Linked DNA regions of Macaca fascicularis. The protein of the gene in region 4 interacts with the protein of the main gene of each other region in a pairwise test. Links are inferred from orthologs where the notes say so. Each region holds a gene or a part of one and is shown on either strand. Other genes may lie near its edges.

Region 1 (3,730 bases), on a different chromosome or scaffold from region 4:
CTCGGGAGGCTGAGGCAGGAGAATGGCGTGAACCCGGGAGGCGGAGCTTGCAGTGAGCTGAGATCCGGCCACTGCACTCCAGCCTGGGTGACAGAGCGAGACTCCGTCTCAAAAAAAAAAAAAAAAAAAAAAAGAATGATGTAAGATCAGGTGTATAGTGGGAAGGTCCAGGAATAGAAAACTTTGTACATGTGTCCTGACTATATGGTACAGTGCAAGGTGGTAGAGATGATAGGAGCTGGAGGTAAGGAGTGTGGTCTGGGTCTGGTTTAGGGATGTCTGGGTTTCCCTTGTAACTTATCCCACCCCTTCCTGCTACCCAGGGCAATTCTGGAGGCTCCAGTGACAGAGCCCAGGTTCTTGGAGCAGCTACAGGAGCTGGATGCCAAGGCAGCTGCAGTCAGAGAGCAGGAAGCTAGAGGCACAGCAGCCTGCGCGGATGTCAGAGGCGTGCTCGATCGGCTCCGGGTCAAGGTGGGAAGTAGGGATGGATACCCTGGAGGCTACTAGAAGCAGCCCTCCCAAGATCTTCACTATGGATTTTCTTGGCAGAGCTCACTGTAGCCTGTCTCCAAGAACTTCACCCTGCCTTTTCTGGGCAGCCCCATTCTTGCCTCTCTGGGTTTCCTTGAAAATCTTGAGAAATACCAAAGAGATATGCACCACTTTTCAATCTATGTTTACCATTTGTTGCTTCCCCCAATTCCTCTCATACAGCAAAAAGGTTGCAGCTTCATGCTCTGTGCTTGGTTCCCCACATCTAGGCAGTGATGAAGATCCGAGAGTTTATCCTCCAGAAGATTTATTCCTTCAGGAAACCAATGACCAACTATCAGATCCCCCAGACGGCCCTGCTGAAGTACAGGTCACAACCCCAAGGAAGTGCATGGGATGGCCTTTGAGCTTTTGAGCAGCCTAATGGCATCTGGTTTCCTGGGAGACAGGTAGACTGACATGTTCCTGACCTCCTAGGTTCTTCTATCAGTTTCTGCTGGGCAATGAACGAGCAACAGCAAAGGAAATCAGGGATGAATACGTGGAGACGCTGAGCAAGATCTACCTGTCTTACTACCGCTCTTACCTGGGGCGGCTCATGAAGGTGCAGGTAAGGTCAGGAGGGAGAGGCATTCCTGGGCACGTGGACTGGGAGGAGGGGACATCCCTGGGCAAGGAATATTTTATTGTGTTGTCGGAAGAGACGGTTATCAGTTCTCTTTTCTGTTTTCTTAGTATGAGGAAGTTGCTGAGAAAGATGATCTAATGGGCGTGGAAGATACAGCGAAGAAAGATATCCTAGTCCTGGGGAACCCTCATGCCAGGTCTTGAGAGTGGGAGGACTTTCGGCTGCAGCCACCAAGGCACTGTTCCTTACCTTTTCCTATGGGACTGAAACCTTTTAGAATGTGATGAAAGCTATAGCCTCCCTCCTAAGAAAGATGCGTCATTTTGACACATAGTTTTGCATATGATTGCAGGAGGTGGGGAGACACCCTGAAGTCCGTTCACAGATGTCATCACGTGGGGCCCTAGTACTGGGAAAGAGGGCTGACTAGGCCATGTCTCGCTGTCTGGGGTCCCTGCAGATAGTGAGTCTTTGGGCCCAGTTATGGTCTCATTGTTTTCCCTGACTCTGACCCATCTTACGATTCTTCTCAAAGCCATCACTCCGCAGCAGGAACACCATTTTCACCCTAGGAACCCGTGGCTCTGTCATCTCCCCCACTGAACTTGAGGCCCCCATCCTGGTGCCTCACACAGCCCAGCGTGGAGAGCAGAGGGTATGAGGAGGAACAAGCTTCAGTCATGAAAGAGACTCTGAGCATGGAGGGAGGGAAGGCCAGACCTCAGGGCAGAGCTTCCCAACCTGCAGGCCCTGTCTCGATCCCCTTAGACTTGGGAGTGGCCTTCTCCAATCACTCCAGCCTGCTGTGATGTGAAAAGAGCTGGGAACCATTGACTTAAGGGCATGCAGAGGGGAGAGACTGGATGAGGGGAATGACGGTCAGAGGCAGGTGTTGAGGTGGATGCAGGAGTAGCAACAGCAGGTGGGTGTAGGCCCTTTTTGTACCCCTATGTTCCCCCACCTTTTCAGTGCCCATTCAGCTTGCTCTTTGACAGCCTGGACCTAGATGGATGCCAAGGGTCTGCCCAGCTCTTATTACCCAGGTTTACTGATTTTGCAGCCATATCCATGGGAAGTCAGTGTTGGGGTCCATCCCTTCTGTGTTTCTTCTTTACTTCTCCTCTCCCAGTATCCATTTGAGGCCCTCTTCCGCAGCCAGCACTACGCCCTCCTAGACAATTCCTGCCGCGAATACCTTTTCATCTGTGAATTTTTTGTTGTGTCTGGCCCGGCTGCACATGACCTGTTCCATGCTGTCATGGGCCGTACACTCAGCATGACCCTGGTAAGATTCCTATTTCCTGTACTATTCAACACCTTTGTCCCCAGTCTTCATCAGCAGCATAGTGGGGTCATGACTCTGGTAGAACTGAAATCAATCAGGATCCTCATTCTAAAATGTCTAAGCCTTGGCTGGGCATGGTAGCGCACGCCCATAATCCCAGCATTTTGGGAGTCTGAGGCAGTAGGATTGCCTGAGCTCAGGAGTTTGAGACCAGCCTGGCCTGTCTATGAAAAATAAAAAATTAGCCAGCTGTGTGTTGATGTATGCCTGTGGTCGTAGCTACTTGAGATGCTGAGGTGGAAGGATTGCTTGAGCCCAGGAGGTCAAGGCTGCAGTGAGCCATGCACTCCAGAGTGAGACCTATCTCTTAAAACAAAAAAAAGAAAAGCTGGGCACAGTGGCTCACACCTGTAATCCCAGCATTTTGGGAGGCTGAGGCGGGAGGATCTGTGAGTTCGAGACCAGCCTGACCAACATGGTGAAACCCCATCTCCACTAAAAATACAAAATTAGTCGGGCGTGCGCAGCCTGTAATCCTAGCTAATCAGGAGGCCGAGGCAGGAGAATTGCTTGAACCTAGGAGGAGGAGGTTGCAGTGAGCCAAGACTGTGCCACTGCACTCCAGCCTGGGTGACAGAGCAAGACTCCATCTCAAAAAAAAAAAAGTCTAAGCCTTGTTACTTAGACTTGTCACAGTGTTACTTCCCATGAAATCCTCAGAGTGTAGGGTCCCTGAGACTCCCCCTGCTGCTGCCCCACAATCAGAATCAGGCAATAGCACGTGAAAACTGAGGGTCCTCCAAACCCCTGACCCAAGCTCAGCCTGGAACTCTGCTGTGATAGGCTTGTGATCGTAGATCCTGCTGCAGCCAGGTGCAGTGGTTTACACCTGTAATCCCGGTACTTTGGGAGACCAAGGCAGGAAGATTGCTTGAGGCCAGGAGTTCAAGACCAGCCTGGGCAACATGGCAAGACCTTGTCTTGACAAAAAATTTAAAAATAAGCCAGGCATGGTGGTACACACCCATGGTCCCAGCTACTTGGCAGGCTGAGGTGGGAACATCACTTGAGCCCAGATGTTTGAGGCTGCAGTGAACTGTGATTGTACCATTGCAATCTAGCCTAGGTGACAAAGCAAGAACCTGTCTCTAAAGTCAAAAACGCCGGGCGCAGTGGCTCACACCTGTAATCCCAGCACTTTAGGAGGCTGAGGTGGGCGGATCACCTGAGGTCAGGAGTTCGAGACCAGCTTGGCCAACATGGTGAAACCCCATCTTTACTAAAAATACAAAAATTAGTCAGGCGTGGTGGCAGGCGCCTGT
Region 2 (4,164 bases), on a different chromosome or scaffold from region 4:
GTCAGGATTTCAAGATCAGCCTGGCCAATATAGTGAAACCCATCTCTACTAAACATACAAAAATTAGCCAGGCATGGTGGTACGCACCTGTAATCCCAGCTACACGAGAGGTTGAGGCAGGAGAATCACTTGAACCCGGGAGGCGGAGGTTGCAGTGAGGCAAGATCACGTCACTGCATTCCAGCCTGGGCAACAGAGTGAGACTCCATCTCAAAAACAAACAGCTGGGCAAGGTGGCTCACGCCTGTAATCCCAGCACTTTGGGAGGCCGAGGCAGGTGGATCACCTGAGGTCGGGAGTTCAAGACCAGCCTGACCGACATGGAGAACTCTCGTCTCTACTAAAAATACAAAATTAGCCGGGCGTGGTAGCACGTGCCTGTAATCCCAGCTACTCGGGAGGCTGAGGCAGGAGAATCACTTGAACACGGGAGGCAGAGGATGTAGCGAGCTGGGATCGTGCCATTGCATTCCAGCCTGGGCAACAAGAGTGAAACTCCGTCTCAAAAGCAAACAAAAAACAAACCACCAGGTCCCATCCCTCCTCCTCCCACAGCCTTCCAGGGCTCCCACTTCACTCACCCAAAAACCCAAGTCCTCCCCATGGCCCACAAGTCCTTGCTGGACTGGCCTGCTTCACCAGCTACAGAGTTAGCAGGGCCCAGTGCAAAAGAAAACTGAAAGGCCCCTTGTTCAAAAATGATTAGGAATCTCAAAATGCAGCACTAAATATTAACCCAAGCACAAGCCCTGCTGAGGAGTGGGGGGGCCTGGGCAAATGCATGAAGCCCCAGGCCCTGCCTCCCTCCGGCCTTCCTGACCTCCGCCCTGGCACCCTGATGCCAGGCACAGTCCTGCCCCAGGGCCTTTACACCTGCTGGTCCTGCCTCTGAGTACCTCTGTACCCCATCCCCCTGTTCTCTCTCCTTCTTTGGGTCGTTTTAGGGGCGGAGGAAGCTCTCTCTGATCCTCCCTGCCACCTGTTTAACTTTGCATCTTCCTACCCTGCCATCCTCCCGGCTGGTTTTTCTGCAGAACCGTCCCCACCATCTGACCTGCTGGGAATTCAGCTTGTTAATTTGTCTCTGTCTGTCTCCAGGCACCACCACCAGAGCAGGGACCCCCCACCCCCGCCCCCACCACAGGGCCCTGGAGCAGCAGGCCCTGGCACACAGTAGGCGTTCTATAAATGTGTCGCAAGAATGGCTTCCCTGAGAAAGGCGGCATTACCGCTGCCTTTCTGCAGAAAAGGAAACTGAGGCTCAGCGAGAACCACCGCCCAGCCAGAGCCAAGGTCACAGAGCACGTCCGTGGCACGCGTCCAGGTCGTGCCACGGCAGGGCTGGCGGCTTCGACGCGGGCAGCCGGGTCCCTTTTCTTTGACAGATGGGGAAACCGAGGCCCGGCCTGCTGCCGGGTTGGGGGGGGTGGCGGGGGCCGCGGCCCGGGGCGGGGGCGGGCGGGGCCCAAGGTCACCGCGGCGGGCGGGCCCTGGGGAGGCGGGCCGGGGTGGGGATCCGCAGGCCTCCCCGGGCGCGCGCCTCCCCCCCCTCGGCGGCGCGCACGGGGCACGGGCGGCGGCGGCAGGTGGAGCCGGAGCCTCTGCATCAGCCGAGCCGCGGCCACTGCCGGCGTCGCCGCCATTAGACAATAGCGGTGGGGCCGGGGAGCGGGGAGGCGGGCGGCGGGGAGGGGCGGGGAGGGGCGCCGGGCGCGCAGGAAGCGGGGCCCGGGGCGCGCCGGGGCCGGGCGCGCGGGGAGGGGGCGCAGGAAGCGGGCGAGGCCCGGCGCGGGAGGCGGCGGCGGCCCCGGGAGCTGCCGATCGGCGCCGGGACAAAGGCGCGGCCGCCCGGCGCCCCCAGCAGCCCGAGCCGGGGCGCACAGCCGGGGCGCAGCCCGCGCCCCCTGCCGCGACTGACATGATGTTTCCACAAAGCAGGCATTCGGTAAGCGGGGTCCGTCCGGCAGGCGCCCCCACCCCGGATCCCGGCCCTGCGCTCCCCACCCCCGGCTCCCGGCCCCGCGCCCCCCACCCCCAGGCCCGGTGCCTCCGGCCCGGCACCCCCCCCAACTCCCCGGCCCTGTCTTCCCTCTCCAGCTCCAAGCCCGGCGCGACCCCCCTCCTGCCGCCGGCCCCCGGACACCCCCCAGTTCCCGATCCACCCCAGCTTCCGGGCCCCGAGCCCCCCCGTCCCAGCTCCCGGCTTGGCGCCCCCCCCCCTCGCCGGGACAGGCAGGGCCTCGGACGGCCTTGGCCTCGGGCCTGGGGCGCTCCGGGAGCCCCGCCAGGCACCTCTAGCGCGGGGATCCTTTGGGGGCCTGTGGTGGGGGGGCGATCCGAGGCGCACCCCTCCCGGAAGAGCGCGTCCCCGAGGAAGGGCGCTGGGAATCTGGGGTGGGCCCCCCGGGAAGATTTCGGGCGCCGAGAGACCCCTCCCCCAAGAGGGCTTTGCTGGGAGGACTCGCTGCCCCCCAACTTGGGGAGGGGGCTCCCTAGGGTGCGTATCCACCCCCCTCGGATGTGCACTCCCTCCCGGCGCTTTGGAGGGGCGGTAGAGGGCGCACCCTGCCCCCCATCTAGGGCAGGCCTTAAAACGCACCCCCACTGCTTGGAGGTGGCGGGGGTCGGGGCGGCTCCGGGCGCACCCACCCTCTCGGCTTCCCCCGGGAGAGGCGGGGGGCAGGAAGCGCGGGTGGGGGCCGCGCCAGGGGCCGTAAACACGGGCCCAGGAAGTGGGGCAGGAGGGGGGGCGCCGCAGCTGCGCGGCCGCTCCCTCCCGGCTGGCCCTCGAGGGGGGTCCAGCCCAAGCCAGGGCCTGACCCGGGCCGCCCCTTCCCCACAGGGCTCTTCGCACCTACCCCAGCAACTCAAATTCACCACCTCGGACTCCTGCGACCGCATCAAAGACGAATTTCAGCTACTGCAAGCTCAGTATCACAGGTGAGCTGGGGGGCCGAGGGTCCCTGCGTCCCGAGAAGGTGAGCCCCCCACCCCATTTCTTCTGCGCAGATGGCAAGGCTGAGGCCTGGAGGGGAGATTGGGAAAATAATGTATGCTAGACTCTGACCTAATACTTGACAAATAGGGAATTCATTTTTTTTAAACAGCTGCATTCTGTGGAGGACAAAACTGAGGCACAAAATAAGTTAAATAATTTGCCCAAAGACTCAGCTGTGTGGCTTCAGAGCCCCTCCCTCCTACCCAATCCCCCCAAGTCCCCCCTTGGATAAAAGACAATTGGAGTTAGGGCACAGACTCGCCGTCCCCCCAACCCCCAAAACAAACATTTTGCAGCCTGGTCATCTCTCTTTGCCCAGTTTTGGAGAAAGGGTTCCCAGCATCAGTCAGATTCTCCCAGGTGCTTCTTTCAGAAATCTCCTGGCGTTTCTGAAGAGCTTGCCATGCTGTGGTATCTAAGGGGAAGGAACTATTTAGTCCTTTTACACTTAAAGAAATTTAATCCCAGGCCGGGTGCCACCGGTGGCTCACGCCTGTAACCCCAGCACTTTGGGAGGCTGAGGCGGGTGGATCACTTGAGGTCAGGAGTTCGAGACCAGCCTGGCCAACATGGCGAAACCCCGTCTCTACTAAAAATACAAAATTAGCCGGGTGTGGTGGCAGACGCCTGTAATCCCAGCTACTTGGGTGGCTGAGGCAGGAAACTTGCTTGAACCCGGGAGGCGGAGGTTGCAGTGAGCAGAAATCGAACCACCACACTCCAGCCTGGGTAACAGAGAGAGACTCGGTGTCCGAAAAAAAACAAAAAAAAAAAAAAAGAAGAAGAAACTTAAGCCCAGAGAGGTTATTTCCTCGGGGATGTCCGTAGCGTTGAGGAAGTGGCAAGGCTGAGGTTTGCACCAGGTCTCTCTCCTGGTTTAAGGTTTAAGGATACAGATTTTCACCTGCCCTACTCTGGAGGGGCACGCCGGGCCTGGGAATCTGGAGGAAGTCAGGCTACGCTCAAACCCCCGTTTGGCCTTGGGGCCCTCTCCAAACTGAAGTGTGCCCACCCCAGAAATGTTCCTGGAAGGATCCTGGATTCCCTCCAAGTAGAAAGGGGAATCTCAATTTTGTTGTTGCTATTGCAAATATCCAACCTTTTTGGGTGCTCCCTGTGTGCTAAAGACCATACATGCCTCCTCAAGCTTCATCTTTCTTGTTGTC
Region 3 (4,530 bases), on a different chromosome or scaffold from region 4:
TCTCAGAATTCCTGATCAACCCCCACTCCACCCCACCTCTAAGCAATAGAAAACAATTCGATCTTTCACACGGATGTTTTTGAGAAGCCACTATTCTACAGCATGACTTACAAGAAAAGAAGATAGTGAGGCTTAAGCAGGGGGACTGGAAGAGGAGGGGGAAGGTTCTGCTTTGGGGACACCTCTCAAAGATTAATCAATACTTTTTCCTAATTCAAACCAGATGTCTAGCCCAGTTTGCTGTACCCATTAATCCCACTAACAACTTCAAAGACCTGCTCATCATCCTCTGGACACCTGAGACAATGAAAATAACGGGGCGACACTGCTGGTGGTGCATTTGGGGCCCCGGGCGGAATAGGTGACTACAGATATTCTCCTGATGCGACAGGTCCCAGATGGGACTTGACTGTTTCTCCTGCTCATTACAGAGCCACTCACTTGTGTGTAAACGACTCTGCCCCCAGCGGACCCTGTCACCCGCCAAACAAGTGGCAGTCTCAAAGCCCTGCCATCGTTCTTGCATGCTTACTGGAGGCAAATTTTCTAATTTATTTTCACGGATGCAAAGTTATAGCCAAGTGCCCAAGCTTAGTGAATTTTGGGAGCTATCGAAATGTAAGATTTCTCAGTAAATGGGACGGTGGTGATAAGGGATGCGATTAGCGGATTTATTTTTGAGGGGAAGAGAGTGGATTTCTGTAGGAAACTGCGGAGACCTAGGCTAGCTCCTGAGGGGAAAGGCTAGATATGTGCGTGCAATCTACACATCTCATGTGACCGGGACAAAATCGCCTGGAAATATTTTTGACCCAGGAAAATTTCTTCTTGGTGGACAAGTGGCTAGGAAATTGAGCGGGACCAGGAAAGAGGGGGAAGGGAGACTCCACCTGGCATCGCACAAGAGGATGCCAGGGAACAGGCATCTGCAACCCTTTCAGACTCACGCCTTCCTCCCACCCACCCTACCGGGTCCCTCTTGGTTCCGCACTGAGAACTGCCTTTTCCAGGCCATGGTACTCATCCCCACAACCTCAGATCTGGCGTCCCAGCCCATTAACAATCCACCCACAGAAACCAGCTGTGAAAACCTAGGCGCGCTGCGGCGCCCAGGGCACTGGAAGATGCGAAGTTTGAAAAACTTCGAGGATGCGCCTAACTAGCTCTGATCTTTTCGTTTAACCCTATTACTTCTTTTGGGTTCCTGAAAGGCTAGGCATATCCCTAGCTTTTCTGCAGGTGACAGTTCACAAATGACACTGACAAATCACGATTCCCGGAGAGGAAAGTGAGTAGGTAGGAATCAGGGTGCTGGGTTGGGGGTGGTGTGCGCCGCGCCCAGGCCTCCAGAGTCTGGAGGGCAGAGCTGCTGCCCTCCCGGGCGGGACTTAGGCACTGGCGTGCCGCTTGTAGCCCTGGCAGCCGGCAGTGCTGGGCGGGCGTGGACGCTCTGCGTCTGTCCAGCAGGCGATAGGAAGTGGAACTGGGGAGCGCGTGGCGCAAACTGAGCGGGAGTTTTGGAGGGAGTTTGCATGTGGTCAACTCTGGGCTCCTAAGCCGGCCCCCAGCTCACGTTACACTCTATTTATAACCTCTCAGAGCCATTTCCCCCTGAAAGCAGTTCTCTGGGACCACCTTCTTTTGGCTTCAACCTCTCCCACTCTTGACATCTGAGTAGTTCAGGGAAGCTCTTCCAGGTCCGACTGTTCATATGCAAAGGAGACTGGTCGCTGGGGCTCAGAACCGGGATTATCCGAGCTCTGCAGAAGTGCACGGCTATTGCTTTGGGAGGGTAAAAAAAAATCATACGGTTTCCAGTGAAAAGTGACAGAGGGTGGTGACCTTTGGAACCGTCCTGAAGTCTTCTGCCTGGAACCTGAAACTTGCATGCTATGGAACACCCGCTCTTTGGCTGCCTGCGCAGCCCTCACGCCACGGCGCAAGGCTTGCACCCGTTCTCCCAATCTTCTCTCGCCCTCCATGGAAGATCTGACCATATGTCTTACCCCGAGCTCTCTACTTCTTCCTCATCTTGCATAATCGCGGGATACCCCAACGAAGAAGGCATGTTTGCCAGCCAGCATCACAGGGGGCACCACCACCACCACCACCACCACCATCACCATCATCAGCAGCAGCAGCACCAGGCTCTGCAAACCAACTGGCACCTCCCGCAGATGTCTTCCCCACCGAGTGCGGCTCGACACAGCCTCTGCCTCCAGCCCGACTCCGGAGGGCCCCCAGAGTTGGGGAGCAGCCCTCCGGTCCTGTGTTCCAACTCTTCCAGCTTGGGCTCCAGCACCCCGACTGGGGCCGCGTGCGCGCCGGGGGACTACGGCCGCCAGGCACTGTCACCTGCGGAGGCGGAGAAGCGAAGCGGTGGCAAGAGGAAAAGCGACAGCTCAGGTAAGGGCGCACCAGGCACCCTCGAGAGTGCGCGCCGGCCTGGAAAGGGGGCGGAGAGATGCCAGGGGAGATTCTCGCACTACAGGGTGGCAGCGGGGAATATGGGAATGTGTTGCCCTTTGTGGCTTCCCGCGGCCAAATTCGGCGGTGAAGCTTTGGTCCTGATATTTGGGGGACACGTGTTTATCCGAGAGCAATGCATATACAGCCAGCAGCTCTAAGCTCTCCAAGGTCCTAAACTAGTTTACCAGAAGGTTGATAAAAAAGGACAAGTGGCTGTGAAATCGATTGCGAAGCGTGACCTTCCATCCCAGCGCTGGGGAGGGAGGGGCGTGCGCCCAGAGATGCAGCGTCGGTTGGGCAGGCGTGCGTGCGGGTGCCGCTTCTTGACTTTTCTCTTGCAAGTTCCCGACTGTGAGTGGCTCGATTTTTCCCATCGTTAACTGGATTTCCAAATCATTGCACAATATTTGGAACTTGCAGTGGAACTTGGCAGAGCGCATGAGAAAAAAAAAAGTTTTAGTTTTTTTTTTTTTTTTTCTAACATTCTTATTTCAGCGTTCTTTAAATAGCACCCTATTTCAAATGGTAAAATTTTCCCTTTATTGGGGAAAAAGACATTATCTAGGAATTCAGATTTTAAGGAATGTGTCAGAGAATTGTAAATAAATAGATGCTCACATTGGAAGAAAGACGAACCTTAATAGTACATGTTCATGTGGTGTAAGCTAATTACAGAATCAACGTTTCAAAAGTGGAAAACAAATCCCTCTACCAAGTGGGTATTAGTAGAGACAAATACAGCGAAGCAACAGTAGCTCGGGTAGTGTTAGTTAGCTACGTGCCTGAAGGTGGTATGTAAGGGTGCGCGCAGGAGGCGCTGATTTTAGTGGGGGATAATTTGAGCAGCCACGGAAAAGGGAAACCTTTCTGACCTCTGGTACTTGAAGACACACTTGCCGAGTAACTTTTCTGTAGCAATCCAGAGAAACTCAAAGTTTTCCAGACCACTTTTCAAAGCTCTTACCTACCTGTATTATCATAAAATTGTTAAAAGATACTTTAAAATTAAGAGACTTGTGAGTTTTCTTTCGTGGCTATAGTGCAACCTGGATTGCATATTTTTGGAAGATATCATTTGTTTAATATAACATTTGCATATTTTTCTTCCTCTGCGGAATTGGGTTAATAATAGTCCTAGAAGGTAATCCCATATGTTGGTTTGAAGTATTGGACAAATGTTTATCGTGTATAAAGCTTTAGGTAAGATGCCACCTAAATGAAAATGATTGACCGCATATTTAATATTCCTTCACCCTTCACAGCAATATCAATTGTTATTCAGCAATCCTATGGGATGGATTCTTCTGTCATGGTCTCAAAAGCTAACTTTTATTTTCCAAGGTCAGGGGGTGAACTTTTAATGTTCTGTCACAAATTAGTTTTTATAAGAAAATTACCAGTAGTGTCACTGATATTTAATGTACTTTCCTAACTATAAGTGAAAGTCTCTTTAGATAGTGAGTTGAATGGTTAATCATAGCAAGAAGGTTTCAATTTGTATTAGAAAAACAGTCAATTTTAGAATGCAGTGACAATTTCATAAACCGAACATTTGATATCAGTGTCACTTTGGAAGCAGATCCCAGTTCAGGTTGATGAGAGTACTCTTGCAATTCCCGTAAGCTCTTACTGTTCATTTTATTTTTTGCAATGAGTAACCTACATGACAGATTGTCCTTTATGCTTCCTGAACTGAGCCATTGCTCTTAAGTTTCTTAGGGCAAACTGAATTTTCATACAAGCACATGTTATTTTGTTTGGGGGAAACCAAGAAAGTGGAATTCAGTAACTGATTCCCTTAATTTATTTTAATAATTTTTTTAAAGTGGAATAATTTAACAAAACGTGTTTATCTCTCCTCCTAACTTAGTGGGAAATAACCATTTAACAAAATTAAGTTCATTTCTACATGTTGAAGCTGATAATGAGGGTACTGGAAAAACAAGCCAATATAAGTGTTTGTGTCAGCTGCATAAATTATTAACAGATTAAAACTTGAGTGGAAAGTACAATTAGTCATCACCAAGGATAAAAATACTGGGGACTTAGGACGAGCTTTTC
Region 4 (4,289 bases):
TAATATATATAAAGCCCTTAGCTCTAGCACCTACTAAGTTTACACAGCTCCTCATTGCCTTTTACCAAAGAAAACTATAGGGCAGAGCTAATAGGCTTTCTCTGCTCCTTTTCTGTTCTTCTTTTGTGACTTCCACTAAGCCCACCACTGCCATGCCTAGTCTCTGACAAGGAAAATGCCAGAAAATGGCTTTCTGACAGAGGTCTCACTGCCCCAGATGGTAAGTGAGGAAGGTTGAGATACCTCCAAATGCCACGCTTTCAAGGAGAAAAACACCTTCTGGACTGATACTAGCTACATATAAAACACCTCGTTTTAAAATCCTTCCACCAGGAAAGAGCACTATGGAGCTGCTTACAGCCTTTCCCCTAGCTTGTCCAGGACGATGTCACCAGCAGCCAGCTGCTTGCGCCTCAGCCGCTCTTTTAAGTCTGGGAAGGCCCGAAGCGCCGGCACATCCTCGAACCGCAGGTTCTGTGCGGCCTGCAGCTGCTCCGCCAGGTTGCTGAGGGAAGACAGGAGGGGCTGGCAGTCCTGCAGGGCACTCTGCCACAGGCCCTGCTGCTCCTCCACCACCAGGAAGCACTTCTTCAGGGCCTCCTGCACGGCAAGCAGAGGCCGGTCTTGAGTCATCTTCTGCTGAAAAAGATAAAAATAGAAAATAACCACGTTGGGGTGGCAAGTCAGTCCGGGAGGCACTGGGTCGAGGGTGGGCGTCATTTCCGTCCTCGTGTTCACACAGGAGTTGTCTCACCTCCAGAAGTGGTTTTTTTTGTTTTTGTTTTTTTCGACACGGAATTTCACTCTGTCGCCCAGGCTGGAGTGCAGTAGCGCTATCTCGGCTCACTCCAACCTCTGCATCCCAGGTTCAAGCAATTCTCCTGTCTCAGCCTCCCGAGTAGCTGGGAATACAGGTGCCCGCCACCACGCCCGGCTAATTTTTGTATTTTTAGTAGAGACAGGGTTTCGCCATGTTGGCCAGGCTGGTCTTGAACTCCTGACCTCAGGTTTTCCGCCCGTCTCGGTATCCCAAAGTGCTGGGATTACAGGCGTGAGCCACCAGCCCCGGCCCTGCCTCAGCTTTCTGAAGGAGATCCTGGCTTCCCCTTGGGAAGGGTAACCTGGATAGGGCAGTCTCCTGCTTCAGAGGATTCCCGGCGGCCAATCGCCGTCTCTTCTCTGACCTACAGTCCTGTCTCCCCTGCCCGAGGCTGCCGGTCGCGTTCCTGAAACCAGCGGAAAAACTTAAAAGTCAAGACACCCAAAGCGTGAGCACCACGCGCCCATAGTCTCTCTGCGCATGCTCACAGGCGACCGCCCCCAAAGCTCCTCCGCAGGCCTGCAAGGCTATTGAGTCGCGAAAATATATCATAGTACCGAAATTACTTCTGGGTACTGTAGTCCAACATGTGGATTGGCCACTCGGCTTGAAGCTTCCTTGGGACTGGATGTTGGGACCGTCCAAACACGGCGACTTCTCATTTGTCAGCCTGCGGCAGTTTAAATTGGGTGGCAGTGGTGGCATGTCCTCTTAACTGTGGAGTCTTTTCCTCTCAGCTTGCGCCTTCGGCTGTGCCTTAATGACACTTTTGACATTGTGTATCACAACCAACTGGCAAAAACTAGTGAATCACGGGCTCCTGACGTGGCAGCTCTCGCTGAGATGCAGGTGGACATCCTAGGTGCCCAGGGAGGTCGGGCACATTGGGGAGTCGGGTGAAGGAAACCCTGAAACCGAGAGGCTGGAAGCCCAATTTGCCCATCATAAAAACACCTGCTGCGGGAAAGCCTACATGAGGTACGGGTTGTCGTCCCCTCTCATCTTGGCCATCTAACTGATGGAGATCCTTAGGCACCCAGCAGACTCGGGTGTCACCCCCACCACCCACTGCCCAGGGCTGACCTTGGGCGGAAGAGCGACATTCAAATATTTTTTGTATATGGAGCAACAAACCAGGGTGGAAGAGAGAGAGAAAGGACTTTCTAGGAAGGGCCAGGCTTGCCAGGGTTTCTATGCTTGGACTGCTCTGTCCCCAAGCTCGCTGGTGCCCATCAGGAGCCTGCTTGGCACCTTTGCTTATTTCTTTGATTGTTCCTGAACTCAGAGGGGGAGAGGCAAGATTATCACTCCCATAGCCTATAACATGCACGCTTAAACACAAACAACCCCTCTGACATGGCTTCATTCCGCATCCACAGGTGAAAAGCACCAAATCCAAACAATCAGGCCACAAACCTGTCAAGAGCTCGCCGGTCTGGCCGTCCAGTCGTCGCCCGCCTTGAGACTCAGCCTGAGCTACAGCTTCGAAACTAGCCTCTAGCCTTGCTGGGTCTCAGCACAACCCTTGAGCAATCCAACCCTGTGGCTGTGGGCAGATGCAAAGATGCACAGTTAGCACTTCCGACAGGACTGCGGCTCAGCGGGGTTCGAGGTCTACACGCCCATTCCCAGGCCCACGGCCAGAACACCCAGAGCTGCCTCCTGCCCTGGGCTCCCTGGAGTGTGGTGGCCGCGGCTCACGCTGCAGTCACCGCGTGGGCAGCTGCCAAGCGCCACTACTCGCACCTGAAGTCGCGGCCCCGCGCTGCACACCCAGTCGAGGCGCCAAGACGCGAACTGGACGGGAGTGGCCGGCCCGCGGGCAAGCGAGGAACAAGAGGGTTCTCCCCACTCGCTGCCCAAACTGGCCACGGGCTGGCGCGCCCACCCCAAAGCCTGCACCCCGGCCCCGCTCCCCTGTCATTCCGCCTCGACCCCTTCCAAACCCTGTCGGGGCTGCTCTGTCTCCGCCGACCCTCCACTTGCCCCAAGTTCGGCCTGGGGAGCTTGGGGCCCTGAGGAGCGCCGACGTAGGCAGCCAACCAGTCAATCAGTCAGAGTGTCACGGCGGCCCCTCGGCTACTCAGTGGCAGCCAGGCCTGGAAGAAGCAGCCGCCGGCCCCGGAGCAGAATCCTACAGCCGACCTGACCTAGTCCGCTCCTAGCCCTTCAAAGATTGGGGTAATGAGGACCCGCCGCAAGGCCTGCCGGGAGTCGCAGTTTGTATAGTTTGCAGCCGGCCAGGGCGGAGCCGGGTGGGTTGGTGGGGAGGGCGGGGAAACAAGCCTGGACCACAACTCCCAGGAGCACCCGCGACGGCGGCGCCCGCGCTGACGCACTCCGGCTATAGGGAGCGCATTGGGCGGGAGACCCCGGGCAGGTAGGAACTTGCTTGTGATTGGATACTGTGGGACGGCGGTTTCTCATTCGTCAGCCTGTGGCTGTGGAGTTTGAATTAGGTGGCGGTTGACGGTAGAGCCGCTCTCTCTCACTGGCATAGCGAGGTTTTACTCAGTCCTTGTCGCGAGACCGGAGGTACGTGCCTGGCGACTTATTCGGGTGGTCCCCATCCGCCCTCCTGGTCCCTACCTGGTTCCTTGCCTCCCTGCCCCATCTCCGCCGCTCCCCGCAGCCTCCGCCGAGCGCCATGGCTCCTAGGAAGGGCAGTAGTCGGGTGGCCAAGATCAACTCCTTACGGAGGCGGAAGCTCGCCTCCTTTCTGAAAGACTTCGACCGTGAAGGTAAAGGGGCCAGGCCGTCGCGGCCTCCTGGGGCGGTCGCGGGATGCTGGCGGGTGGGGACACGAGCTGCACACATTCACCCGCCCCGTGACCCGTGTCCTGTCGGCTCTGCCCTCCCGCAGTGGAAATACGAATCAAGCAAATTGAGTCAGACAGGCAGAACCTCCTCAAGGAGGTGGATAACCTCTACAACATCGAGATCCTGCGGCTCCCCAAGGCGCTGCGCCAGATGAACTGGCTTGACTACTTCGGTAAGAGCTGGAGAGCTTCCCTGGGCGGAGGCCGGGAGCCCCGTGGGGTTAGGTAACACCCTTCAGAAAGGACTCGCTCAGATGTCACCTTTTAATGAAATCTGACATGACCACTTATGGAAAATTGCAGACCCTTTCACTCTCTGTCTCACTTCCGTAAGTCATGTGTCTCCATCCTTTTCTCTAAAGGCCTAGGTAGCAAATATTTTAGGCTACTTGAGCCGGTGGGAGGGGTCTCTGTCGGACAACTTAGCTCTGCTGTTACAGGTCCAAAACAGCTATAGTGAATGGGCATGGATGGGCTGTATTCCAATAAAATTTTAGTTGTGGATACACTGAAATGTGAATTTCACATAATTTTCACACATCAGGAATTTTATTTTATTTTTTTGGAACAGAGTCTCACTCTGTCACCCAGGCTGGAGTGCAGTGCAGTGGTGCGATCTTGGCTCACTGCAACCTCCACCTTCTGTATTC
Region 5 (3,730 bases), on a different chromosome or scaffold from region 4:
TAATTTTTTTTTTTTTGAGACGGAGTCTCGCTCTGCCGCCCAGGCTGGAGTGCAATGGCCGGATCTCAGCTCACTGCAAGCTCCGCCTCCCGGGTTCACGCCATTCTCCTGCCTCAGCCTCCCGAGTAGTTGGGACTACAGGCGCCCGCCACCTCGCCCGGCTAATTTTTTGTATTTTTAGTAGAGACGGGGTTTCACCGTGTTAGCCAGGATGGTCTCGATCTCCTGACCTCGTGATCCGCCCGTCTCGGCCTCCCAAAGTGCTGGGATTACAGGCTTGAGCCACCGCGCCCGGCCTAAAAATATTTAAAATAAATTTTTATTGAGATGCAATAAAATCTACCAGAATATATCCTGCCACATAACCACCACCACAATCAAGATGTGGAACATCTCCATTACCCCCTAAAATTTCCGTGGTCCCCTTCTCGTTCATTTTTCTACCCTGCCTCTGCCTCAATTACTAATCTGCCTTCTGTCACTGGAGATTAATCTTTTCTAAAACTGCATATAAATGGAAGCATACAGTATACTTTTGTATCTGGTTTCTTTTGCTCAGCATGGTTTTGAGATACATTCATTTGGGAGTATATACCCCCCATAGTTCTTTTTTTCTTTTTCTTTTTTTTTGAGATGGAGTATCGCTCTGTCCCCCTGGCTGGAGTGCAGTGGCACGATCTTGGCTCACTACAAACTCTGTCTCCCGGGTTCACCATTCTCCTGCCTCACCCTCCTGAGTAGCTGGGATTATAGGCGCCCGCCCCCATGCCCGGCTAATTTTTTGTATTTTTAGTAGAGGCGGGATTTCACCGTGGTAGCCAGGATGTTCTCGATCTCCTGACCTCATGATCCGCCCACCTCGGCCTCCCAAAGTACTGGGAATACAGGCGTGAGCCACCACGCCTGGCCAGTTTGTTCTCTCTTATTGCTGAGTTTATTCCATTGTAGGACTATACCACAGTTGGTTTATCCATTGACAGAGTTCACATAGGTTTGTTTTTAAACTTATCAGGAACATCTAGCTACAAATTTATCTTTTTTGCATATTGATTACTCATCTTTGCAATTGATAGACACTAATATCTTGAACGCTACATTTATAATGCTATAAAAATGGGTTTTGAAGAGGTAGCGCTCGTATCGCCTACACAATAGTGCCAGTAGAGTATGCTGCTGTAACCCAAGCGTTGGTATCATAACATTTTGACCTTTCAGTTGTACAGAGTACAGATTTTTTTAATGCACTCTTTCAAAGGTTAGGCTAAGAATGCTAATACTGGGATACTTCTAAATATTGTGATAGCTACGTAGGCTGTCAGTGTCATTAAATAAAAACAGTACAAAATACATTATCATTTTTATTAGTTATTGCCTGTAAAATAAGGAATTTGGGCTTAACTGTGTTTCTAAATTTAGTGTTTCAAAATTTAATACTTTGCAAAGTAAAATTGTTGTGTAAATAATGTGCATGTCATGCTTTTTAAAAATATAACTTAGTGCTTTAGCTTATGGCATTTGAAAAGGCAATATTTTCTTTTGGGACTGGATTTCTGGTTCAAATATTAATTTAACAAACTATTATACTATATTCTGTCATGAGCTTTTCTAGTTTTATAGAACTGTAAAATTTTTAATTAAAAAAATTTTTAAGCAAAGCTAATTTACACATAAAATTTCTTATGGAAACTAGCTATCTTACTTTGTTTGTTTCTTGGTATTTCATCCTTAAAATGTTGATCCACATTTTAGTAGATATTCTTGTTTATGTCATTTTTATGTATAACATATGTACAATTTTCTAATAGAGTTCAATTTTTAAAAGCATAGGCTCTAAATTTAATGACTTGAGTTCACATTTCCACTTTGCCACTGTGAAACTTTGGGCAAGTAATTCCTCTCTTTAAAATCAGTTCCAGGCCAGGCTCAGTGGCTTACGCCTGTAAACTCAATACTTTGGGAGGCCAAGGTGGGTGGATCACTTCAGCCTGGGAGTTCGTGACCACCTTGGGCAACATAGCGAAACCCCATCTCTACAAAAAAATAGAAAAATTAGCTGGGCGTGGTGGCATGTGCCTGTAGTCCCAGCTACTCGGGAGGCTGAGATGGGAAGATCACTTGAGCCTGGGAGGCAGAGGTTGGGGTGAGGCAAAATCGCATCATTGCACTCCAGCCTGGGAAACAGAGTGAGACCCCCATCTCAAAAAAGCTAATTAAACTCAGTTCCTCATTTGTAAAATGAGGATGAAAGTAATTCTTTTACAGATTTAGGAGATAATTTACAGAGTCCTTAATACAACACCTGGACCAAATACATGTTTGTTGAATGAATGGGTAAATGCCATTCTTTGTTGTGTACAAACTTGCAACTTTTTTTTAAAACTTTGATTTGGTATTAATGTCAACTTGGGATTATCCCCAGGTGAGGAGATAGTTACTTCCTGAACATGGCTATAATTTATTAAATACTGTTTGATAGTGACTACTTGATAAGAATGATACAAGGCATTCTTTGTATACTATCCTATTTGTATTCGTACAGATTTGGATTCTATTCAAGGTTATTGGCTATAATGGGCAGGGAGGAGGACCTAGCAGGACTTTAGGTCTATGTGACTATTACATTCTTAAAATTTTTTTTTTTTTTTACTATTCAGTCCCTGAAAAACAGCTGAATGATATTGAAGATTGTGACCTCAATGTGGTGAGATTATGTTTTCAAGTTTTCCTCCCTGATGAACATGGTAATTTGACGACTGCTCTTCCTCCTGTTGTCTCGAACCCAATTTATGATAACCGTAAGTACTTCATTTTCTTACATTTGTAGTCTTGTTTTTTTGTAATGGTTTAAGTCTTAAAAGTATTTTGGTAATTAGAAAAACAATATATTCATGATAGGAAAACTTCCAGGCATTACAGAAATATATAACAGAAAGGAAATCTTCTCTAATCTCATCCTCCAGGGATAATCACTATCCTTAGGTGCATATTTTACCAGTTTTTTCTTCCTATATATACATAAATACATTGTCGTCATCATTTTTGACACAGTACAATTGTGGCAACTTAAAATCATAAGTGATGATTGTTTAAAAACTTTCTTCTTACCATATATCTTGAACATTTTCCTTTCAATCACCTTATTCTTTTCAGTAGCAGCATATTTTATTATGTAGTTACATCATAATTTTATTAATTACCTTCTTATAAGACATTTGGTTTGTTTCTTTTCTCATTTTTTCTTTTTGGCCTAGCAAACTGTACTGCAATACATATTCTTGTATATGTTTTTTTTTAATTGGTTTTTTTTTGGAGACAGGGTCTCACTCTGTCACCCAAGCTGGAGTGCAGTGGTGTAATCATGCCTCACTGCATGGCAAATGCTGGATCAAAGGATATGGATATATCTCATTTTAAAAGATTATGAAACTTTCCCCCAAAATACTGTGTGTGTGTGTGTGTGTGTGTGTGTGTGTGTGTGTGTGTGTGTGTGTGTGTGTACATAGACTTATATATATGTCCACCAATGGTGTATGGCCATACCTGTTTTATGTGTAGAAGGATAGAGAGATGTAGGGCTATAAAGGTAGATCAGAGTATCCTTATCATGTAGAGCTTTAAATGCCAGGAATAATTATAATAATCTTATGGCCACATAATAGGAAGCATGAAAGTTGTATTGCCATAGGGAGATGTATTGCCGTAGGGAAAATTGTATTGCCATAGAGATATG
Region 6 (4,196 bases), on a different chromosome or scaffold from region 4:
ATAATTTCCTTTCCAAGGTATGCAATCTTTGCATTGTGTCTGAGTATTACACTCACACGTGCACCGCTTCATCAAATACATCTGCCCATGTACTCACTTGCAGTCCTCGCTCTCCAGGAGGCTCCGGTACGTGTTGATCTCACACTCTAGCCGGGCACGCACATCCAGCAGCACCTGGTACTCCTGGTTCTGCCGCTCCAGGTCACAGCGGATCTCCGCCAGCTGCGACTCCACATTGGTGATCAGGCTCTGCACCTGGGACAGCTGGGAGCTGTAGCGGGCCTCGCTCTCAGTCAGTGTGTTTTCAAGAGAGTCTCGCTGTGGTGGGGAAGATCCGGAATGTCAGAGAGCTGCTCCTTCAAAGGGTTTCTTCATAGGATTCCAAGGAAGTCACAAGCTCCAAGAGCTAAGGAGAGTGTGTGGCCCCAAGGGCATCCCCAGGACTCTGCCTTCCAATTTCCCATTGCTCACCAGCAGGTCAGAACAATACACACCAGGTTATGCTGGGCCTGCAGCTCAATCTCCAGGGCATTGACCGTTCGTCTCAGCTCGATGATCTCTGCCTGGTAGGACTGCAGCTGCTCCGAGCTGGATACCACCTGCTTGTTCAGCTCCTCGGTCTGAAACACCCAAGGGGAGAAAGGATCAGACCCTGCCTCTGGGGCCATAGGGTGGGCCTTGGGTCCTGAGTGGCCACGTGCTTAGATGCCCACCTGCGTGGTGAACCATTGCTCCACTTCCCTGCGGTTGGTTTCCACCAGGGCCTCATACTGACTCCTGGTCTCATTTAGCACCCGGTTCAGGTCCACAGTGGGGGCAGCATCTACCTCCACGTTGAGACGGTCTCCAAGCTGGCAGCGCAGGGTGTTGACCTCCTATGGATGCAGAAAATACAAGAGTTACTATGCTCAGCAAAGAATGGACTCTAAGGAATGGCATTGCTTGTTGAAGCCCTGTTAGTCTGTTCTCTCAGAACAGAAACTTTGAGTGGAGCAGTCTGTGACAGCTCAAGGCACTCCATGTGGCATAGCCCCCTCCCCACCATCTGCTGTGCCATGGCACTTGGCTTCAGAAAAAAATCCCAAAAGTTTGCTTGGATGCCACTGAAGGATGGACTAATTGAGGTTCAACTTTCCCAGTTTACAACTGGCTGTGAGGACCTCAGCATACAAAAAAAAAATAAAATTGGCTGTGCAATTTCAGACCGTATATCAAAAAACTCTTGTTGTCAAGTAAGAGATAAGAGCATATCATGGCCCCTCCCAGGAGAGAGAGGAAGAAGCTCACAAACACTATTCGCCAATACTTTGAAAGAGTAGAGACTCACATTTATAAGGTTTGATTTTTTTTCTTGGTCTTTGGCAAAAAAAAAAAAGACTTTGCAAAGCAGTAACACTGCAATGCTAGGACTCATTCTATAACTATTGACCAATTTCAAGCACATGGAGCTGCTCTGGGCAACTCAAAGAATGTGCTAGTTTAAAGTGAAAGATGTTTCCTGTCTGGGAACATGAACAGGTCTTATCTCTCTCCAATTTTTCTCTTGCCGTGATGTTTTTAAAGGAAACCCTCAGCCTTGTACTCATACTCTGCATTCTGCTGCCCCTAATCACTAAAGCTACCCTGAGTCAGAGGCTGAGACAGGTTTGTGCATTTCTGATTTCTAGTCTCACCTGCTCGTGATTGCTCTTGAGGCACAGCAGCTCCTCCTTCAGGGACTCCACCTGGGCCTCCAGGTCGGACTTGCACAGGGTCAGCTCATCCAGGATCCTACGCAGACCATTGATGTCCGACTCCACCAGCTGCCGCAGGGACAGCTCAGTCTGGTACCTGCACAAGGAGCGGGTCAGAGCACTACTTGGTAGATCTTCAACACTCACAGGAATGATTTTTGATAACCTCATGTGCCTTATCTTTCCACTTTCTGTAATGAATAGGCCCAGGAGACAGAGGTTTCTGGAGGCTCCATCAATACCCAATATTCATCCCAAAACAAACAGATTGATGTGAGTCCTCATCTATTTTTGTGATTTCTTTGCTTGGTTCTCCCCAATCCTCTGCAGAATCCTTCACAGCAAGTGGGTAGATCTGTTTTTCAGTACAGCCATGGAAATCCCTTTTCTGTAACTAAAGATTAAACAGAAGAAATGGACACTAGTGCAAATTCCGAACAACTCACTTGGTTCTGAAATCATCCGCAGCCAGCTTGGCGTTGTCGATCTGCACCACAAGCCTGGCATTCTCGGACTTGGTACACAGGATCTGGGGAGTGAGAGGTGGCTTAGTGAGGACTGAAAATAAATATGACATCATCAACTTTTTAAAAATGACTTAAAAAGACATTTTGAAATAAAAGAGGAAGCAAGAATTATGACAGCACAGAAGCAAGAAACACACTTCTCTATCACAGACAGAATCACTGCAAACTCTCTTGCTTGGAGATGACAGCAATGCCCCTCACCTTCTGCTGAAGCTCCTCGATGGTCTTGAAGTAGGACTGGTAGCTGGGGCACAGCAAGGGCTCCTGCTGCTGGGACCGCTCCCGGATGAGGCTCTCCAGCTCCGCGTTGTCCCGCTCCAGCTGACGCACCTTCTCCAGGTAGCTGGCCAGACGGTCGTTCAGGAACTGCATGGTCTCCTTCTCGCTGCCATTGAAGGAGCCCTCGCAGAACCAGTTGCAGTTGCTCACATTGGCAGGGATGTTGCAGGCCCCGGGTAGGGTGCAGCCGTGGCAGCTGGGGGGCACGCAGGGCCGGGAGGAGCAGCTGGTGCGGCAGCTCAGGCTGGGCAGGCAGAAGTTGTAGGGCATGGTGCTGGGAGGGAGGGAGTGAGTGCCTGGCTGAAGACAGAGTCTAAATTCTCCAAGCCACAGAGCTGTGGGTCTCCTTCCTCTAGGGAGCATTTATATCCCACTGCAGAGGGTGTGGACACAGTATGTAATGTCTTTTTTCTTTTTATTTCTTCACTTCTTTTCAAACGCCCTTTCCTTCAGTCTGTTATTTGCCTTCCTCAGAAGAGTCCCTTGTCCCATAAAATTCTTTACTTGGGCTTCTTGCTAAGTCAGGACTCCTCCGCAGACAGTCCACCCATGAAATCAGAGTTCTGTGGTAGGCCTTCAAAGAGGCTACACAGTCCAGCCCAAGTATCTGCCCTCATTAATTGAGGTGTTGATCCATCCAATGACATTCTTTTGTGTCACATAATCCTGCAGGCCCGTAAACATACTCATGTCCTGGTCCACCTGCCATTTCTAGGGAGAAACACGGATTGGTTTGAGGAAGAAGTTGCATTAAGAGGCCACAGTGGACTGTGTTTCCCTCTTCATTTAAAGAAGAATCTTCAAATGATGGAGCATTCCATGCCTTGGAAGCCTTAAGGTGGATGACTAGAATCAATGGAGGACAGGGATGAAAATATTAGACAGCAATTTGTGTTTTACGGGTCCGTGTAATACTTCCCCGCCAACACTGCATATTACTTAAGAAAATTGTAGAGGAGAGAATTTTAAAGGTAGAGGCTTTGACAACTAGTTTGAGAACAGAGAAGTTTCTAGGGTAAGAGATCATTTTGAAAGAAGGCTGAAAAGTGCAAACTGAGAGAGCCATAAAAAACACACTTAAGGCTGGACGTGGTGGCTCATGCCTGTAATCCCAGTACCTTGGGAGGCCGAGGCAGGCGGGTCACGAGGTCAAGAGATTGAGACCATCCTGGCCAACATAGTGAAACCCATCTCTACTAAAAATACAAAAAAAAATTAGCTGGGTGTGGTGGCGGGCACCTGTAGTCCCAGCTACTCGGGAGGCTGAGGCAGGAGAATGGTGAGAACCCGGGAGGCGGAGCTTGCTGTGAGCTAGGATCCCGCCACTGCACTCCAGCCTGGGTGACAGAGCGAGACTCTGTCTCAAAAAACAAACAAACAGAAAAAGGCATTTAAATGACCTAGAAAAGATATTTAGGGGCAGAGAGAAAGGAATAAGGAGAGAGAAAGGAATAAGGAGGTGTTTGTCAAACATTTCTTCGGGTGTCCATAGTATCCAAACAGAGTAGATGGATATGTTAGGAAAGTCAGGAGATAGCCCAAAGGGGCCTCCACAGGCATGAAATCACATGTATTTGATCTTTAAACTTCATGTGAATTGACCCTATATTCCATAATATATCCATGTTGGCTTTAATGTTTTCTAAAAGCCCCTTTT
Region 7 (4,484 bases), on a different chromosome or scaffold from region 4:
TGGTTCGAATGTTTCAATGCCTCATGATACAATAAAACCACAAAAATTTTCGTAACAACAACAACAACAAAAAAAAAAAAAAAAAAAGGAAAAGAAAGAGAGAGGGAAAGAAACAGGCCTCGTGGGATGCACAGTTTACTTCTCCGCGCAAACCCAGGACTTCAGAGTGGGTGGGAAACTCCCACAGCGCTTGGGAAACCGTCTGTAGCCTGTCTGGATTTTGGCCCAATTCTGTGTGATTTTGGTCGGTCTCTTCCTGTCTCAAAGTGCCAGCCACCTTCCCAATTTGGAGCTAGGCGCGGGATCCGCAAGGTGAAGATTAAAGTGTGCTCATCGCTTGGGCCCGCTGTAAGGTGATTCGCCCCCCACCTGCTGGAACTCCTCGCCCGGGACCACCAATCCCAGCATGCCTTGAGAGCGCGCGGGGGCCTGGACGGGTCCCGGGAGGTCCGGTTGGGCGCAGAAGAAGCGCGGACCAGTGAAGGCTCTGGGAGCCCTGTCACTGTTGGGTTCCTTTCCTCCGTGTGGTTCAGGGATTACCACTAGGGACTGTGGACTTCTCCTGCCCCGAGCCCGAGATGCCTTCCACCCGCTGTGTTTTTAGGGGTGTGGCCCTGTGGGCTACATTTCCCAGCGTGCCCTAGGATCGTGGTCCTGACCTTTGCACCGCAAATTTCATTTCCCAGCATGCCCTGGGAGGTCACCCAGGGAAGCCTGGATATGGACCGTCTTTCACGGCTTTTGGGTTGTGGACTCAGTTTCCCATGGTGCCCTGGTGAACCCATTCATTCATTCATTCCAAAAATATTTGCGATCACGTACTCTCAGGTTCTGTTCTACGAACCAAGGACAAGTAGTGCACAGAAGACAAAAGTCCCTGCCCTCGTGGAGCTTATTTCGAGTTAAGGGATCAGGAAAAAACCCAAAATAAATAAAACCCAGCCGGGCGTGGAGGCTCACGCCCGACATCCCAGCAGGATTACAGGCCGAGGCGGGCAGATCACGAGGTCAAGAGATCGAGACCATCCTGGCCAACATGGTGAAATTCCGTCTCTACTAAAAATATAAAAATTAGCAGGGCGTGGTGGCGGGCGCCTGTAATCCCAGCTACTCTGGGGGCTGAGGCAGGAGAATTGCTTGAACCTGGGAAGCGGAGGTTGCAGTGAGCGGATATCGCGCCACTGAACTCCAGAGTGGAGACAGAGCGAGACTCCGTCTCAAAACAAACAAAATAAAACAACAATAACAAAACAACCCTGCCTCTCCCCGCACTCCCTGCCACGCGGCTGTCCAGTCGATTTCCTAACTGCCCTGGGGCAGCCTGCTCTTCGTCCCCTTTACCCGGTACTCTACGCTTCCTAGTATGCCGTGGGGCATCCCTCCGGTCTGCAGACTCCATTTCCCAGCATTCCCCGGAGGAGGCCCTCATTCGGTGATTTCCACTGGGCGCCTCGGAGCTGCGGACTTCCCAGTGTGCATCGGGGCACAGCGACTCCTGAAAGTGGCCAGGGGCAACTTCCGCTTATGGACTCCATTTCCCGGCGCTCCCCGCGACCTGCCCAGCACACCCTGGGGCAGCGCCGTGACGTCGGCGCGCCGGGCGGGGGCCGGGAGATCCCTGCGGCGGTGGGGGGGGCCAGCGGCAGTTCCCGGCGGCCCCCGGGGCGGGCGGGCGGCGGCGGCAGTTGGGGCTCGGCGCTCGCTCGCTCGCTCGCTGGGCGGGCGGGCGGTGCGATGTCCGGAGAGGATGGCCCGGCGGCTGGCCCGGGGGCGGCGGCGGCGGCTGCCCGGGAGCGGCGACGGGAGCAGCTGCGGCAGTGGGGGGCGCGGGCGGGCGCCGAGCCTGGCCCCGGAGAGCGCCGCGCCCGCACCGTCCGCTTCGAGCGCGCCGCCGAGTTCCTGGCGGCCTGTGCGGGCGGCGACCTGGACGAAGCGCGTCTGATGCTGTGCGCCGCCGACCCTGGCCCCGGCGCCGAGCTCGACCCCGCCGCGCCGCCGCCCGCCCGCGCAGTGCTGGACTCCACCAACGCCGACGGCATCAGCGCCCTGCACCAGGTCAGCGCCCCCTCCGGCGTCTCCCGGGGCCAGGCCCACCCTCCGCAGCGCCGCCTGGGGCATCCTCCTTCCCCGGTTCCGAGCCGCCGTTGCCAGTCTCGATCCGCCCCGTCGTTCCTAGCCCTGGGCTTTGCCACCCTATGCTGACACCCCGTCCCAGCGCCCCCTTACCAGCCCTCTTCGACCACCCTGCTTCCGAATTGGGGCTGCTTCAAGTGGCCCTGGGCTTTGCCACTCTGTGCTTACCACCCTGCCCCAGGCATCCTTACCAGTCCCCTTCGATCTACCCTCTTCCGCATTGGAGTCGCTTTAACTGGCCCTGGCTTTGCCAGCCTGTGCTGACCCCTGCAGTCCCCCTTACCATCCCTCCCTCGACTTCCCCTCTTCCGATGTTGAGCCTCTCTAGCCGGCCCTGGACTTTGTCTCTCTCCCTGCCCTGCCCTCTCCTGAACCTGAGGCAGCTCCCATAGCTCACTCTCGTCTATCTCCCTGGCCCTGGCCATTGTCACTTTGCGCTGCCCTCCACTCGCCGCCGAGTGCCCTTGCTGTGCCCCCTCTACTCTGCCCTCTAATGCGGCCGTCTCTCTCCTGAGTCCGGACCACTTTGAGCTCTACTGGCTTCTGCGCCGCCTCTGGCCCGCTGTTTCCCCTTTCCTGGCGGGTGCTGCTTTCACTGACCTGCATTCTCTCCCCTGAACCTGTGCCGCTTTCTGCCTGCAGCTTGTGGCCTGGGCCACCCCTACGGCTAGGCCCAGATCCTTCCCCACCACCTCCTTCAGGTTCCAGCTTCCTCCAATCCCTCTTCCCCTTGCTCTGTGCTGTGCGTTGCTGCCCAAGGATGCTCTTTCCAGAGCACTTCCTTCTCGGCGCTGCACCACGTGGTGTCCTCGGAGCGGATCCTGCCCTTGTCTGGGTCCTCTCCGGGCATCTCTGCTCCCTACCCCAACCCCCATGCCATCTTCATTCGCTGGGTTCCCTTTTCCCTCTCCTTCTGGGGCCTGTGCCATCTCTCGTTTCTTAGGATGGTCTTCTCTGTGGGATGCCTCTCCCTTGCGTCCCCACCTCCCCTTCTCGTAGGCCTGCATCATCACCGTTTTTCCCGACAACCCCAAAGTCCCTGTCTCCCTGGCTTTAGCCACCTCTCCATCCTCTTACTTTCTTTGCCTGGACACCCCCTCCTCCTGTGGATTTGGGTCACCTCTCACTTCTTTAATTCGGGCAGCTCCCATACCCCCTTTACCTCTCTAGTCTGTGCTCGCTCTTCCGGCCCCTGTCACGGCATCTTCCAGGGGTCCCAGAGCTCGGCTGGTCCTCTTCTTCCAAGCCGGGCCCCCATGGCCACTTCAGGACAAGATCTTGTGTCCCAGAGCCGGGACCACCTTATATTCCCAGGACCGATTAATATGGCTCTGGTTCTGGGTACTTTTATCTGTCCCCTCCACCCCACCGTGGGGCCACTAGGGACAGGACTGGTGACAGAAAGCCCCATCCTTAGGCCTCCTCCCTCCTAGTCTCCAGATATTGGGCCTGACCCCCACCTCCTTTTAAGCACATTCCTTATCTGGTGACACACCCCCATTTCCTGGAGCCACCTCTCTCTCCCCGCCAGAACCCCTAGGGTTTGCTTACTGATGGAGCCAGAGAGGATCCTGGGAGGGAGAGCTTGGCGGGGGGTGGGAGGTAAGGGGGATGCGCGACCTGCTGGTTCTCAGTGGCCGCCCTGCGCTGCCCTCTCCCAGAGCCTGAGCTGCTCTGGCGCGGCCGTCTGGTGCATTTCACTGAGCCGGGTGCTGCTGCTTCCTTACGCTTCCCAAGAGGAGAAGCAGTTTGGAAAAACAAAATCAGAATAAGTTGGTCCTGAGTTCTAATTTTGGGTCTTCACCTTTCTAGCACCGAATTTGTACTGTTCCTCTGTGCATCAGTTTTCCCTGTGAGATAAGGCCAGTAGCCGCCCCGCCCTGGCAGGGCTGTGGCGAGGAGGGCGTGTCCGTGTGGAAAACTCCCTTTGTGAGAATGGTTCGTCCTAGGTGTTCACCAGGTCGTGGCCGCCTCTACCCCCTTCTCTTTCTCCATCCTTCTTTCCTTAAAGAGGCCCAGTGCTATCTGGGACATACTCCTCCGCCCGGAGCGGGGTCCCGGGGCCCCTCTTCCCTAAGGCCCTGCTCCGGGCCCCTGGGTTTCAGTCCTTGGCAAGCCCAGGAGAGGCGCTCAGGTTCCCTGTCCCCCTTCCTCGTCACCATCCCATGCCCCTGGCTCTCCTGCACTTTCCCTACAGGGGTTCCTGGCTCTGCTCTTCAGACTGAGCCCCCTTCCCCTGCATCCCCCAGAGGCCCCAGGCCACCTAGTTGGCCTGGACCCGGCGAGAGGTCGCCCCAGCCCAGTCCGCCAGGCCGGCTTTCAGGTGGATTCTCCTCCCACTGTGGGGTGAC

The links.
Region 1: the proteins of AIRIM (region 4) and VPS52 interact in binary tests that used the Homo sapiens proteins (3 or more experiments, as listed by UniProt). The two-hybrid records come from large-scale screens. The link is inferred for Macaca fascicularis from reciprocal best matches to the Homo sapiens genes AIRIM and VPS52.
Region 2: the proteins of AIRIM (region 4) and TLE5 interact in binary tests that used the Homo sapiens proteins (3 or more experiments, as listed by UniProt). The two-hybrid records come from large-scale screens. The link is inferred for Macaca fascicularis from reciprocal best matches to the Homo sapiens genes AIRIM and TLE5.
Region 3: the proteins of AIRIM (region 4) and MEOX2 interact in binary tests that used the Homo sapiens proteins (3 or more experiments, as listed by UniProt). The two-hybrid records come from large-scale screens. The link is inferred for Macaca fascicularis from reciprocal best matches to the Homo sapiens genes AIRIM and MEOX2.
Region 5: the proteins of AIRIM (region 4) and REL interact in binary tests that used the Homo sapiens proteins (3 or more experiments, as listed by UniProt). The two-hybrid records come from large-scale screens. The link is inferred for Macaca fascicularis from reciprocal best matches to the Homo sapiens genes AIRIM and REL.
Region 6: the proteins of AIRIM (region 4) and keratin, type I cuticular Ha1 interact in binary tests that used the Homo sapiens proteins (3 or more experiments, as listed by UniProt). The two-hybrid records come from large-scale screens. The link is inferred for Macaca fascicularis from reciprocal best matches to the Homo sapiens genes AIRIM and KRT31.
Region 7: the proteins of AIRIM (region 4) and PPP1R12C interact in binary tests that used the Homo sapiens proteins (3 or more experiments, as listed by UniProt). The two-hybrid records come from large-scale screens. The link is inferred for Macaca fascicularis from reciprocal best matches to the Homo sapiens genes AIRIM and PPP1R12C.

What each region holds. Positions count from the first base shown.
Region 1 is NC_088378.1:138,434,858-138,438,587, forward strand, and holds part of VPS52 (vacuolar protein sorting-associated protein 52 homolog), read left to right. Parts: intron 1-323; coding exon 324-474; intron 475-764; coding exon 765-865; intron 866-972; coding exon 973-1,105; intron 1,106-1,230; coding exon 1,231-1,288; intron 1,289-1,644; coding exon 1,645-1,778; intron 1,779-1,891; exon of another isoform or gene 1,892-2,045; intron 2,046-2,252; coding exon 2,253-2,408; intron 2,409-3,730. UniProt on the Homo sapiens protein: Acts as a component of the GARP complex that is involved in retrograde transport from early and late endosomes to the trans-Golgi network (TGN).
Region 2 is NC_088393.1:3,762,871-3,767,034, reverse strand, and holds the start of TLE5 (TLE family member 5), read left to right. Parts: upstream 1-1,175; 5' UTR 1,176-1,188; coding exon 1,189-1,416; intron 1,417-1,555; exon of another isoform or gene 1,556-1,918; coding exon of another isoform or gene 1,919-1,945; intron 1,946-2,225; exon of another isoform or gene 2,226-2,497; intron 2,498-2,842; coding exon 2,843-2,940; intron 2,941-4,164. UniProt on the Homo sapiens protein: Transcriptional corepressor. Acts as a dominant repressor towards other family members. Inhibits NF-kappa-B-regulated gene expression. May be required for the initiation and maintenance of the differentiated state.
Region 3 is NC_088377.1:114,505,860-114,510,389, forward strand, and holds the start of MEOX2 (homeobox protein MOX-2), read left to right. Parts: upstream 1-1,613; 5' UTR 1,614-1,892; coding exon 1,893-2,406; exon of another isoform or gene 2,407-2,453; intron 2,454-4,530. UniProt on the Homo sapiens protein: Mesodermal transcription factor that plays a key role in somitogenesis and somitogenesis and limb muscle differentiation. Required during limb development for normal appendicular muscle formation and for the normal regulation of myogenic genes.
Region 4 is NC_088375.1:197,229,576-197,233,864, reverse strand, and holds the start of AIRIM (AFG2-interacting ribosome maturation factor), read right to left. Parts: upstream 3,020-4,289; 5' UTR 2,807-3,019; exon of another isoform or gene 2,567-2,806; intron 2,368-2,566; exon of another isoform or gene 2,367-2,367; 5' UTR 2,237-2,366; intron 1,743-2,236; exon of another isoform or gene 1,679-1,742; 5' UTR 1,483-1,678; coding exon 1,378-1,482; intron 1,307-1,377; exon of another isoform or gene 755-1,306; intron 640-754; coding exon 359-639; intron 1-358. Other genes in the region: CDCA8 (borealin), read left to right, coding at 3,468-3,561, 3,684-3,812. UniProt on the Homo sapiens protein: Part of the 55LCC heterohexameric ATPase complex which is chromatin-associated and promotes replisome proteostasis to maintain replication fork progression and genome stability.
Region 5 is NC_088387.1:61,054,325-61,058,054, reverse strand, and holds part of REL (proto-oncogene c-Rel), read left to right. Parts: intron 1-2,654; coding exon 2,655-2,795; intron 2,796-3,730. UniProt on the Homo sapiens protein: Proto-oncogene that may play a role in differentiation and lymphopoiesis.
Region 6 is NC_088390.1:62,443,325-62,447,520, forward strand, and holds the start of keratin, type I cuticular Ha1, read right to left. Parts: upstream 2,879-4,196; 5' UTR 2,810-2,878; coding exon 2,462-2,809; intron 2,263-2,461; coding exon 2,180-2,262; intron 1,831-2,179; coding exon 1,674-1,830; intron 876-1,673; coding exon 714-875; intron 621-713; coding exon 495-620; intron 319-494; coding exon 98-318; intron 1-97.
Region 7 is NC_088393.1:62,991,186-62,995,669, reverse strand, and holds the start of PPP1R12C (protein phosphatase 1 regulatory subunit 12C), read left to right. Parts: upstream 1-1,641; 5' UTR 1,642-1,734; coding exon 1,735-2,055; intron 2,056-4,484. UniProt on the Homo sapiens protein: Regulates myosin phosphatase activity.